Ovis aries: one gene and its partners. The protein of the gene in region 1 purifies or fractionates together with the protein of each later gene. This does not show direct contact. Links are inferred from orthologs where the notes say so. Each region holds a gene or a part of one and is shown on either strand. Other genes may lie near its edges.

The links. Proteins that work in one complex are often made in the same cells at the same time.
Region 2: the proteins of MED12 (region 1) and VDR purify together in Homo sapiens (affinity purification with mass spectrometry; 3 studies listed by BioGRID, with this or other methods). This does not show direct contact. The link is inferred for Ovis aries from reciprocal best matches to the Homo sapiens genes MED12 and VDR.
Region 3: the proteins of MED12 (region 1) and MED9 purify together in Homo sapiens (affinity purification with mass spectrometry; 6 studies listed by BioGRID and IntAct, with this or other methods). This does not show direct contact. The link is inferred for Ovis aries from reciprocal best matches to the Homo sapiens genes MED12 and MED9.

The regions. Positions count from the first base shown.
Region 1 is NC_056080.1:63,840,805-63,844,304, reverse strand, and holds part of MED12 (mediator of RNA polymerase II transcription subunit 12), read right to left. Parts: intron 3,500-3,500; coding exon 3,272-3,499; intron 3,095-3,271; coding exon 2,950-3,094; intron 2,784-2,949; coding exon 2,663-2,783; intron 2,306-2,662; coding exon 2,204-2,305; intron 2,104-2,203; coding exon 1,990-2,103; intron 1,742-1,989; coding exon 1,566-1,741; intron 1,386-1,565; coding exon 1,206-1,385; intron 152-1,205; coding exon 80-151; intron 1-79. UniProt on the Homo sapiens protein: Component of the Mediator complex, a coactivator involved in the regulated transcription of nearly all RNA polymerase II-dependent genes.
Region 2 is NC_056056.1:138,634,893-138,638,883, forward strand, and holds the start of VDR (vitamin D3 receptor), read left to right. Parts: upstream 1-1,191; 5' UTR 1,192-1,709; intron 1,710-3,991.
Region 3 is NC_056064.1:34,574,073-34,578,358, forward strand, and holds the start of MED9 (mediator of RNA polymerase II transcription subunit 9), read right to left. Parts: upstream 2,801-4,286; 5' UTR 2,732-2,800; coding exon 2,511-2,731; intron 1-2,510.

The DNA.
Region 1 (3,500 bases):
TAGGCTCTTCTATGGCAGCCCCCTTCCCTGACACATATTGTTGGAAGTGAGCATGAGAGAGGGTCTGGGAACCACTCACATTGTTAGGGGTCTGCTTGATCATGAGCTGTAGTTCCAACGAAGACTGGCGCATGGTCCACTGGTCCAAGTTCTGTGACAGAGACCCCATCAGCAATCTAGTCATCACTGTGTCATCCCAGACACTTAGTACTCTGATGCCAGCCCCTGATCTCTCACAACCTTGAATCACATATGCCTGGAGGTCTGAAAGGGCCCTCGACTTTCCCTCTTTAGGAAAAATCACACTTAAATAATCCAAAATGACTGAAAAAAAATCTATCCTATTTCAAAAGTGGTTTTGGAAAAATTTCACATCTTCCCCAGTTTCCTGCTCCAGAGCCTCACATTCCTCAGCATCAGGAAGTTCTGCTTAATGCTTAACTTAAATCTTTGATGTTGAAGTTGAAGCTCGCCACTCCTGTTTTCAAAGTCCTTTACAGACCCGAGGGCTAGTCTTAGTTAATCTCTCTGAGGCATTATCTTCTCTCAGCCGAAGAGGCCTCATTCCTTTAGGTTTCCCTCAACAGCTTTATTTTTCCACCCCCAGTCACATGAATGTCTGCAGCAGTGTGGCGAGGCAGGAAGGGTGCAGGCAGACCTGGGCTCCTATACTGACTCTAAACTTACCAGCTGCGTGAGTTACTGAACCTCGGGCAAGTTACTTAACCTCTTCAAGCCTCAGTTTCATTGATGCTAAAACAGGGATATTCATGCCTACTTCACAGGGTTGTAAAGACTAACTAAGGAAATCTACATGGAGTACTAAGCACAGTACCCAGCATGAAGCAGCCACTCAATAAGCAGTAGCTTTCCAACAGCATTACTACTCATCACTGAGCTACGATCGACATGCCAGACACATACGACCAAAATCTAGACCTCCCAGATGCTCTGTCTCCCACTGATAAGCCAAAGCCCTACTCCAGCCAGCTGTGTGCCCTCACCCAATGGTTCACTCTTGAGTCTAGACCATATTGGCTTGACTTCGAAACCCATGCTGGAGCTGTTTCTCTCACCACCTCTCACCATATCCTCATTCATCTTCCTACTTAATTCTCCCTCTCTTTTTCTCTCAAGGTTCCCATCATTTCACCCCAGGTTCAGGCCCTACCACTTCCTCCAAGACCCCCGTCACCTTGGCCTACCTGGAGAATACGCTTAATGCGTTGCCGCTGTGGGTTTTCCCCATCCTCGTTGTCCAGCAGCCGATGTGGGTAGCAGATAAGCTGCATGAGGCGCTGGGCCTGGGCACTGCTCAACACTGGGTCTTGCAGGTCATTGCTGTCTTCACACAGCGATTTAAGGCAACGTTCTCCTACCCATTCCTGAGGAAGCCAAGAATTAGGGGACTGGGCCAACCAGTGAGGGGGTTACGAATAAGGGGGATGGACAAGCGGTTGGTGAGGGACAAAATGTATGGCGGGGAGGTGGTGTGATCATGACAGGAAACAAGACTATATTATATAGCAGCATTGAAGAGGTCTGTGAGAGAAGGTGAGACTGACCTGCTGGCAGATGCTGCGTAGCACGTACTTGGCATAGACATCCAGACTGGCTGTCTCCACAGAGATGTTGCGGCCACCCTGCCTCCGACTGCCACTGCCACCTCCTCCCTCCTCCTCTGGAAGTTCTTCTGTTCCTCCTGTCACAGTGAAGCCCGAACCCTTCAGTTCCGCATCCCCTGCGGTTCACGGGCGGGAGATACGGAGTGCAAAGTGAGATCCCAATGCTGTGTGGAGACCTGCCCCAGAGCCACAGAAGCAGCACTCCCCAAATCCTGCCCTATGGGACAGAAATATACTTCCCTCCTTCCTATCCTCCAGAAAGGTCAGAGAGACCAGCTTTAGGAGAGAGAAAGACTGCCCTTTGTAGTTTAGCTGGCGCTCCACCCTATACACACTTTTGGCACCACTCTTCCTACCCCCATACCAAGTACAAACACAGCCTTGAGAACAGCAAACACAGCTCCATCCACGATGCGGTTCTGGGAGGCAGCCAGCAGGTGGCGGTCACAGGAGGAGCGGATTCCTACAGTAGGCTTGTCTGGTGGAGAGAGCTGAAGTCAGGGGAAGCCAAAGTAGAAACGGTGGGGGTAGGGTAGCCACACTATCCTTGGCAGGCTGGCTTGGATGGAGTCACTTACTTCCATCCGATTGGCAAGGATTGAGTTGAGGTGTCTTGAAAAGATGGAGGAGGATGCGGCAGGTAAGCCGGGCCCCTGGCTCAGAGTCCTGTTCACTGCAAGCTACAGAGAAGACACAGAGGCGGGGAAAGGATGAAGGTGGGCTATATGTGGGTTTGTGGGTGCTGAGGCACTAAAAAGGTGGCTGAGGTCAGGCAAAAGGAGATAACACATTGGAGGAGAGGTGAGGGAGCCAACTGTTCTATAGTGTAGAGGGGAGAACCTGGAAGGGTCAGGAACAGGAAAGACTGGGGATACAGGTGCAGGGTCAGAAAGAGGCCCCTCCCAGCCTGAGACACACAACAGAATTGGCTTCTGGTGCCACCAGGAGCCCCACAGTGAACAAGGAGAGTATAGCCATTGAGTGTGTATTGACATTGGGGGTCTAGACTTTCTACGGGTCACAAATTGGTAGTTTACCAGCATTAAGGAGTGAAGGGATGGCCGCACAGCGAATCAGATCCTCCAGGAGCAAACACTGCCGAGCGATGAGGATGGCAACAAAAGTGGCCAGGGAGTCGTGAAAAGACAGGTCACTGACCTGGAGGAAAAAAGCAGACACACACCAGGACTCAGTGTGGAAAGAGTTCTCCTACTCTGAGTGCTGGGCCTCCACTCTGCATAAAGCTGTCCCTCCGCTCTCACAGTCACTGGGAGCAGACTCCTGCCCTGGGGACTGCCCGGTGCGCCCCCACCCCCAGTCTCACATCTACATTGCAGAGGAGGTCGTTGAAACCACAAGTGCCATTGTTAGAGGAGCAGCACAAGGCCTTAAGCACTCCCAGCCACTCTGCACTCAGTGACTTGCAATAGCCGGTCAGCTCTGCACACAGGATGGCGATGTCATTCACCCTGGGGAAAAGTACAAATGCCCTCAGCAAAAAAACCTGTTCTGGCAAAACCTCAGACTCATTAACTTTTCATCTCCACCCCGGCTATAACCAAGGTTGTGGTACCTCCCGGGCAAGTCATCCCTCCCAACATCAGGCGGGAGCGTGGTGCCCATGCCTCACTCAGTACGCCCCATACCTATCCGAATCATGGTGCCCCACACAGACGTGCATAAGGGCATTGCAGACAAAGCTGTAGCGGTTAGCAGGGTTCTCACTAAGACTCTTGCCTAGCCCCGTGTAGGTGAAGGTGTGAGCAGCGGGGTTCTCTAAAGTGTCGTTCATGAACTCAGGTGCCCAGCGCATGTTGGACTCTGATGGCTCCACATTGCAGTAGATGGTGTTCTTCACCTTGGAGCAGAAGTCAC
Region 2 (3,991 bases), on another chromosome or scaffold:
TCAACAGCTCTGCCGATGGGGCATCATTACTGCCTTTGATGGATGAGGAGTCTGCAGCTTGGAGAAGTGAATCCATGTCACCCAGCTGGAGTACACGAGCCCCTGGTGCTTGCTCTTATAGCCCACATTCCATTGGTCTAGTGGTCCTTTTCTAAATAAAATGCAGGGACTTCTCTGGTGGTCCAATGACTAAGACTCTATACTCCCAATGCAAGGGGCGTGGGTTCAGTCCCTAGCCAGGGAACTGGATTCCACATGTAGCAACTAAGACTCCGCATACTGCAACTAAAAATCGCACATGGTGCAACTAAGATCAAAGATCCTACATTGCCGCAACTAAGACCTGGCACATCCTAATTAATTAATTACCATAAATAAGACGCGAACGTGGTGGTATCATCTTGTCTCTTAAAACCTTCGGTGGCTCCTCACAGGCTGCAGGAAGAGACCCAAACCCCTTCCACAGCTTGCAAGGCCCTTCCATTCTCCTGCTGCCCTCTTCCCTCTAACCGCACGCTCTGACCACAGCAGGCTATTTGTAGCTCCCTAAACATGCCGGGACTCTATGTGCTCGCTAGTTCTGCCCTCTTTGTGTGGGATAATCTTTCCTCCCTGCCCCACCCAATCCACACCCTTTGTCCTACTCCCGGAGAGATCCCACACAGCCACCCAAGCCCAGCCCAGATGTCACTCTGAGGTCTTCTCCTGCCGCCCCCGTGCACACGCTGCTCGGCGTCAGCGCTGCTGTCTTCACATCCGTCTCTTCTCTAGCGCCTGCGCTTTCTCCATTATAACCCTCTGTTAACCAGGCTGAATGTCCTGTTAGACTGTCAATTCCGTGTGGGGAGAGGTGGCGTCTCTGGCGCCTGGAGGAGAGCCTGGCGGAGAGTAGAAGCTCCGCAGCTGTGTGTAGGATGAGGGAACGACTTAAGTGAGTACAAGGTGAGCACCTCAGGACAAGCACAGTGTCACAGTCACAGGACACGGTATGCATCCCCATCTCACGGCAGGTGCCCAGCCCCCAGTGGACGTGCAGTCAAGGGTGAGTGAATGAAGGTGAGGAGAGGAGAGAGGATGGAGCGAGGAGAGAAAAGGGAAGGTTGGATTCACAAAGCAGTTGCAGGCATAGGCACTACTTTGTTCCTTCCACCAGGGGGCGCAAGAGGCCCAGGAGCCTGGCCCTCGGTTCTTGAGGATCAGCCTTAACACCGGCAGAGGTTTGGGGTTGTTTGCTTCCACAGAAGAAGGAGAAAGCAATGGCACCCTACTCCAGTCCTCTTGCCTGGCAAATCCCATGGACGGAGGAGCCTGGTAGGCTGCAGTCCATGGGGTCGCTAGGAGTCGGACACGACTGAGCGACTTCACTTTCACTTTTCACTTTCCTGCATTGGAGAAGGAAATGGCAACCCTCTCCAGCGTTCTTGCCTGGAGAATCCCAGGGACGCGGGAGCCTGGTGGGCTGCCGTTTATGGGGTCGCGCAGAGTCGGACATGACTGAAGCAATTTGGCAGCAGCAGCAGCAGCAGCAGCAGCTTCCACAGAAGGATTCAGGAGGAGCCAGGATCCGAGGAGGGGAGTCCACCCAAAGCTGAAGTGCCTCAGCAACAGGCCTGGCACTGACCGGGCCTGGCCTGCCTGGTGGGACCAGAAGGAGCCAGCTGCCCATCCTGGGATCTCCGTGCACCCAGGCGAGGCCCACCTTGGGACAGGTAGGTCCTTGCAACTGGAGTCGAGCTGGCCCAGAGCTGAGAAAGGACTCAGAGCCCTCCACTGCATGGGCCTGGGGCAGGTGGTTTTCACAGATTCCCGGACAGGAGGCAGTTCTTTAGAATTCACAGCTTTGTCTTCGCACTTCTCCTGTGCTAGTAAAGGCCAGCCTTGCAGGGACTTGGGGCAGAGACAATGAGGAACAAAACACAGTCATTGCCCTCCGGGTGCTCCCTCCCTCCCTGTGAAGCCCTGCACCTGAGTGTGACCTTGGGCACCGCCTTTAACCCTTTCTGGGCCTCAGCTTCCTGATATATTGTTCAGTCACTAAGTCGTGTCTAACTGCAGCACACCAGGCTTCCCTGTCCTTCACCACCTCTGGAGTTTGCTCAGACTCACGTCCACTGAGTCAGTGATGCCATCCAACCATATGTAGCATTGTTTAAATGATGAAATGAGCTAATCCATGAGACATTTCTAGATTACTGTGCATCAGGCAATAAGCATTCAGTAAACGGCAGCTATTATCAGATATTACGGTGATGGTGATTCAGTACCAACAAGCTCTTAGAAGCTTACATGGAAGGCGCGCGGGAGACTGGCCAATGCCGCCAGCTTTGAATTAGCCTTGAGCATCCACCCAGCTGGTCTTTCCATGGCAAGCCTTAGGGATGGAGAAGAGAGATGAGTACTCTGTGCTCACGAGGCCTTCAGTCCTGAAACACAACACACCAAACAGATCCAGAGAGAAAACTGAGGCTCAGACCCCGTGACTGGAAGAGGCCTCAGAGATAAGTGGAGGCAAGGCAGAGAGAAGGGGTGTCCAGCCCAGGGACCTGCCACCCTATCTCTTGGGGTCCTGAGGCCACATGGCTGCATGGGCACAAGATAGCTTGGTGACTTTGGTCTAAATTAAATGCCACCAAACATTTGTGTTATAGAGAATTTTTAGTAGTTTTGGCCTCTCACCCACCCTTGTGAACAGGTGTGCAAGGGGACCAGTACAAACAGGAAGGGTGAGAGGATTGGATGGGAGGTGTCAGAGGGAGGCGAGAACGCAGCCTGGGATGCTGGAGAGACGGAGGGTGAATCCAGACCGTGGTCACTGTGGCCGGGCCTCGGTTCAGCTATGCATTCTTTCTCTCTGGGCACTGGGCAGGAGTGGGGGTGGCCTCTCGAGTGGTGGGGGTCATATGCTGGGAGTTGGGTCCCCTGCGTCCCGTTTCTGTCTGCTCTTGCCTCAGCTTTCTCTGCTCTATACCTTCTGCCCCTGCCACTGAGAAAGGCCCAAAGTCCCCACTCTCCTTCCAGAAGTGGTGCTTGTGCGACCTCCTGCACGAAGCCCTCCTTGATTCTGACCCTCTGCGGGGGACCATCTCTGAATCTTCATGTTAGCTTGTTTATACTGTCTCATGGGGTTCTTGCCTTGCCTTTGCACGTACAGAGGTGGCAGAGTACAGCACTGAGAGCATGGATTCTTGGCTCCCTGGGCCAAGATTCTGGCTCTAGCCTTTATAGTGCTATGGTGGGTGGAAGTTTCCTAACTTCTGTGTGCCTCGGTTTTCTCCTCTACAAGATGAGGAGAACAGCAGTACCTTCTGCACAGGGCTGATAGGACTTTAACATTTCATGTAAATATTTGGCCGTGTTGGGTCTTGGCACCTGTGCCTGGGTTTTCTCTAGCTGCAGTGAGCAGGCTTCTCCTTGTGGTGGCTTCTCTTGTTGTGGAGCAGGCCCTCAGCGGCTGCGGCCCTCGGGCTCAGCAGCTGTGGCTCGTGGGCCCTAGGGTGTGCAGGGTTCAGTAGTTGCTGCTCGCAGGCTCAGTAGCTGGGGTGCATGGGCTTTGCTGCCTTGTGGCATGTGGACTCTTCCAAGACCAGGAATCGAACCCATGTCCCCAGCATTGGCAGGTGGGTTCTCAGTCACTGGACCACCAGGGAAGCCCTGATAGGGCTGGGAGCCACATTTGTAAAAGTACTTAGGCCTGGACCTCGAACGCAGGAAACGCTCTCTAAGCGTACGCTCTTGTTGTCACTGGAGGGCCTGTGCCTTACCCCCTCCTGAAGCCTGTTGCTCCTCAAGGAGAGGTCCCTTTACTTAAGCTGATTTGTGTCCCTTCAGGGCCCCAGCCCAGGGCCCGGCCACCACGAGTCTTCACTGACCTTGTGTGGAATGGTGATGGGACCCGAGGGCCCTCTTGCCTGGTCTCCTGTCCCTCTGGGGCCCCCAGAGAGCCGGGCTGCCTCCGTGGCTGAGGCCCTGCCTCCCACAACCCCGCCTGAGC
Region 3 (4,286 bases), on another chromosome or scaffold:
AATCATTCCATTTGGATGGCATATGTGCTAACACATTGTTATGAATTTAAGTCCCAAGGCAATTTTGAAATTAAATTATAGTTTTAAGAAAACTGATTCACAACACATAAGTCTGAAAGGACAAGGTACAAACAAACAAAAAAAAAAATTTTTTTTAAACAATAAGGTTCTACCATATAGCACAGAGAACTATACTTAATAGCTATGATAAACCATAATGGAAGAGAATATTTTTTTTAAAAGAATGTCCATATATGTGTAACTGAATCACTTTTCAATTTGTTTTGACAAAAATGTAACCACACTACACACATGGTTCTGATTCTTGGTTCTTTTTTCACCTGAAATGCACCTCGGACAGCTAGATGACATGGCTGTTACGAGTATGTGGATGTTTGTAACTGATCACCTGCGGTCTGAATGGGGATGACCATCCCACACCTGCACCTGTGTGTGCTGGGCACCCACAGTCCCCTCAGTCAGTGCTGCAGCTCTGCCTGCCACCACCTGCAGTTCATCCCTGTTCCTCCTCCTACTCCCCAGCTTCCTGTGGACCCCAGTCCTCTCCTCCTCCTAAAGCCCTCTGTCCCATCTACCTTCACAAAACCCAAGCACTAGCTCAAAAACTTCGGATGACTCCTCGACTCCCTGGTTCAGTGTCTCTGGGGTCAGACACCCAAGAGAGTCTATTTTCTTTGGCTGTCAGTTGAGAAGCTGGGGACAGGAAAGGGGAGGTATGGGTGAAGGGTGGGGCTGGGTCTCAATGTCCAGTCTGTGGACTTGCTCTCAAGCTCCTATTCTCAGTATGGCTCCCCTCCCCCAGCTCCCACAATGTGCCTAGTGTTCCCCAGTCCAGACACTCTGGCTGACTCTCTCCTAAAACAAATCTTGGGAAAGTACAAGCCTTTAAGCTGTCTGACCAAGGTCATTCAGCTGGTACCTTATAGAGCTATCATCTGTGGTTCATTTTTGGATGGCAACACCTATTCAATGGACATGAGATTGAGTAGACTCTGGGAGATAGTGAAGGATGGGGAAATCTGGTGTGCTGCAGTCCATGGGATTCCAAAGAGTCAGATACAACTGAGCGACTGAACAAAGAACAATTATTACTCATATATTAGAGATAAGAAAATCAAGGTCTAGAAAGGCTATGCACTTAACTAAAATTCCAACACAAGCAAGCATCAACATGCAGATCTGAACTCAAGAAGATCTGACTTCAAAGCCCATGTTCTTTCTCACAGACAATACAGTTCCATCTTTAAGGCCAGCCCAACCCAACTGCTCTATCAGGGTCAAAAATAGACTCGGAGAACACTGTGTGTTTTCATTTTTCCGTATTTTTTTCTAAAACCCGAATAAGCATATTTGGCTTGATCCTGGATAATGCCTGGGACTCCAGGGCTGCTTCTGTGTGTGTTTGCTTGGTCACTCTGCCTAGAAGTGCTACCTGATCACAGGCTCCTGGGAATAGAACAGTTTGCCTTGCCCGATAAACACTATGTTCACACCAAGTGAAGCCAGATGAAGTCAAGGTCTACTGTGACTACTGTGAGAACAAAGTCTTCACAGTCGTCTGAAAAGCAGTGGAAGTGTCAGGTCATCCCAGGGCAAGTGAATCTAATCCGCCTCAACTCTAAACCGGCTAGGCCATCACCAATACTTTTGTATTGTGAGTATCAATTCCATTTCAGCAAAACATCCAAGAGCATGTTGATGTTCACTTGAATGTTACTGTAAAAATAACAACTTTGTTACTGTAAAAGATTACAACTTTGTTGTAATCCACTTTGCTTTTATTTTTTAATGGCTGAATAAAAAGTTCAAGCCCAGGGGTTTAAACTTTGCTATCATGTAGACATAAATAACAGTTAACAATAATTTGGGCAAATGTGGGGATTGGGGAGATTTTGGCTGTGTGTGTGTGTGTGTTTTCCTTCTAAGGATAAGTTTGAAAACTCAGGTGATCTGAAGACTGGCCAAAAGCAGACAATCACCCCGTGTCGCCGGGACAGGGCACCCCAGTGCTGTCCGGAGGGCAGCGTCCTACTCCTGTAAAATTCCCAACATCACCCCTATAATCTCTTTGCATTATGGGTTATTCCGCTCATTAGTTTCCCCTTCTAACTGGTGAGCAAGGTGGGGATGAAAAGTCGGCCCCTCCACGTGTACACGCCACAGCACTTAGCAGTGTGCCACACATGGAAGATGACCCGTATCTGTCGGATCTGTGGGAAAACAGGCTCACCAGGCTGCACCCCAATGGTCTGCCCGCAGCGTCTGTGCACTTGCTGTCTACATCGGCTTCGTTTTAAGAACGCTGCTTGCCAGCACGGGGCCTGGTAACTCCCAGGAGGGAATGCTGAACTCTTGGGACTGCTCGCGGTGGCCTCGGCGTGGCCGCTCCCCTCCGGGTGTGTCTCCCCCTTGGTACCGCGGGGCGCCCCTGGATTTTGGACATGTGATGGGCAGCGGGGGCGTGCGGGCTGATTCCCCCGGGCCCTTACCATTTGATGATGCTGTGAACCAAGGGAAGGAAGGAGCAGTTCTCCTCCGCCTTCACGCCGGCAGGGGATGGAGGCTTCGGCGCGGGCTGCGGCTGCTGCGCAGAGACAGACGGCGGCGGCTGCGGCTGCGGCAGCGGCTTCATCTCCGGCAGCGGAGGCTCTGCGGGCGGCGGCAGCGTGTCCTCACCCTGCCGGCCGGCAGCAACCCCCACAGAAGCCATCGTGTCCCGGACCCCAGCAGCCGATCAGGGGGACAGTCGGCTTCGCGCGCCGGAAGTGTTGCTGATTATGACGTCACCATCGTGCGCCGCGGAGGCGGGGCCGGGCCTGGCGGTCGTTACTAGGCAACAGGCGGCTGGTCCTTGGTAGCCTGGATTTGGTGGTGCGCAGAGACAGCTAAATTTTTCAAAAGTCAGAAATAGAAGGTATACTTCAGGAATAACATCTCATTCCTATTCACGTTACAAAGAGAATCCAAAAGCAACCTGTAGAGGAAGATAAATGGGGCCTCAGGAAGAGTGGACAGCACCTCCGCACCTGCGGGTGTCAGGCCCTGGGCCCGTGGAGGATCCGAGGGGAAGGACCCACGGCTCCCACCCGCGCAGAAGCCTCCAGGGACGAGGTCTTGCGCCTACCCTATGGACCCTGAAATAAACCGAACAGTTAATATGCATCTTCTGGGTGACACACGCTGTGCTAACTGTGGGGGAAGGGTGAGGTCTGTCTCAACTTACTCCGAGCAGAGATGGCCGAAGGGGATTAGTACCAGGAATAAATACTGTATCCGAGGGAGAAGTCAGTGTCAGCTACTCTCCGTACCTGTGGGCCAGCTCCTGAAGCCCCCGGTCTCAGTGTGCTCACCTCTAAAATCTTTAGTTCAGGGTCATGGCAGAGCCCAAACCACTTTCCAACTTCAGACACATGGCTGACCTTTGAAGGTGTCCTTTGCATGAGCCCTGGGCTCTTAGGCGGAGAAGGCAATGGCACCCCACTCCAGTACTCTTGCCTAGAAAATCCCATGGATGGAGGAGCCTGGTAGGCTGCAGTCCATGGGATTGCTAAGAGTCGGACACGACGGAGCGACTTCAGTTTCACTTTCATGCATTGGAGAAGGAAATGGCAACCCACTCCTGTGTTCTTGCCTGGAGAATCCCACGGGCGGCGGAGCTTGGTGGGTGGCTGTCTATGGGGCTGCACAGAGTCAGACACGACTGAAGCGACTTAGCAGCAGTGGGCTCTTAGGTCAAAGTAGGGGACTCCTGGTGGGTTTGTGGGTATGTTCCTCAAAACAAGCCCTCCCAAGCCACAATGAGGGGGCTGTGTGATGGGGAGTGGCATCCTAGTTGGGAAGTACCCCTCTACTGAAGAGCAAGGTGGCCGGTGCCAAGGAAGCATCAGTGCTGGTATTTCAGAGGCATCTAGGAGGAGTCTGTAGAGGCAAGTCCCAGGGGAGGAGACTGTGGAAGGAAGTGGGGAGGGTGGACGGTGTGTCAGAGGGCACTTTGGTAACAGCCTTAGCACAGCTTTCTTATAAAAACTGCACCCCACAGGTGAGCACAGGGAGGTGGGGGGCTGCTGACTGTGGGCCTCTCCCCCTGAGGGAAAGTTCAGGGTTCTGGTGGAGAAGGAGGAAGAAGGACCCCCTGGGACAGGACCAGACGGGCTTGAAGAGGCTGTACACCCTTGGAATTGCCTGGGGACATAAGGGCGGTGTAATGATAATAATAGTAATTACCACAACTACTGTGGATTGAAAGTATGTACAAGGGACAGAGC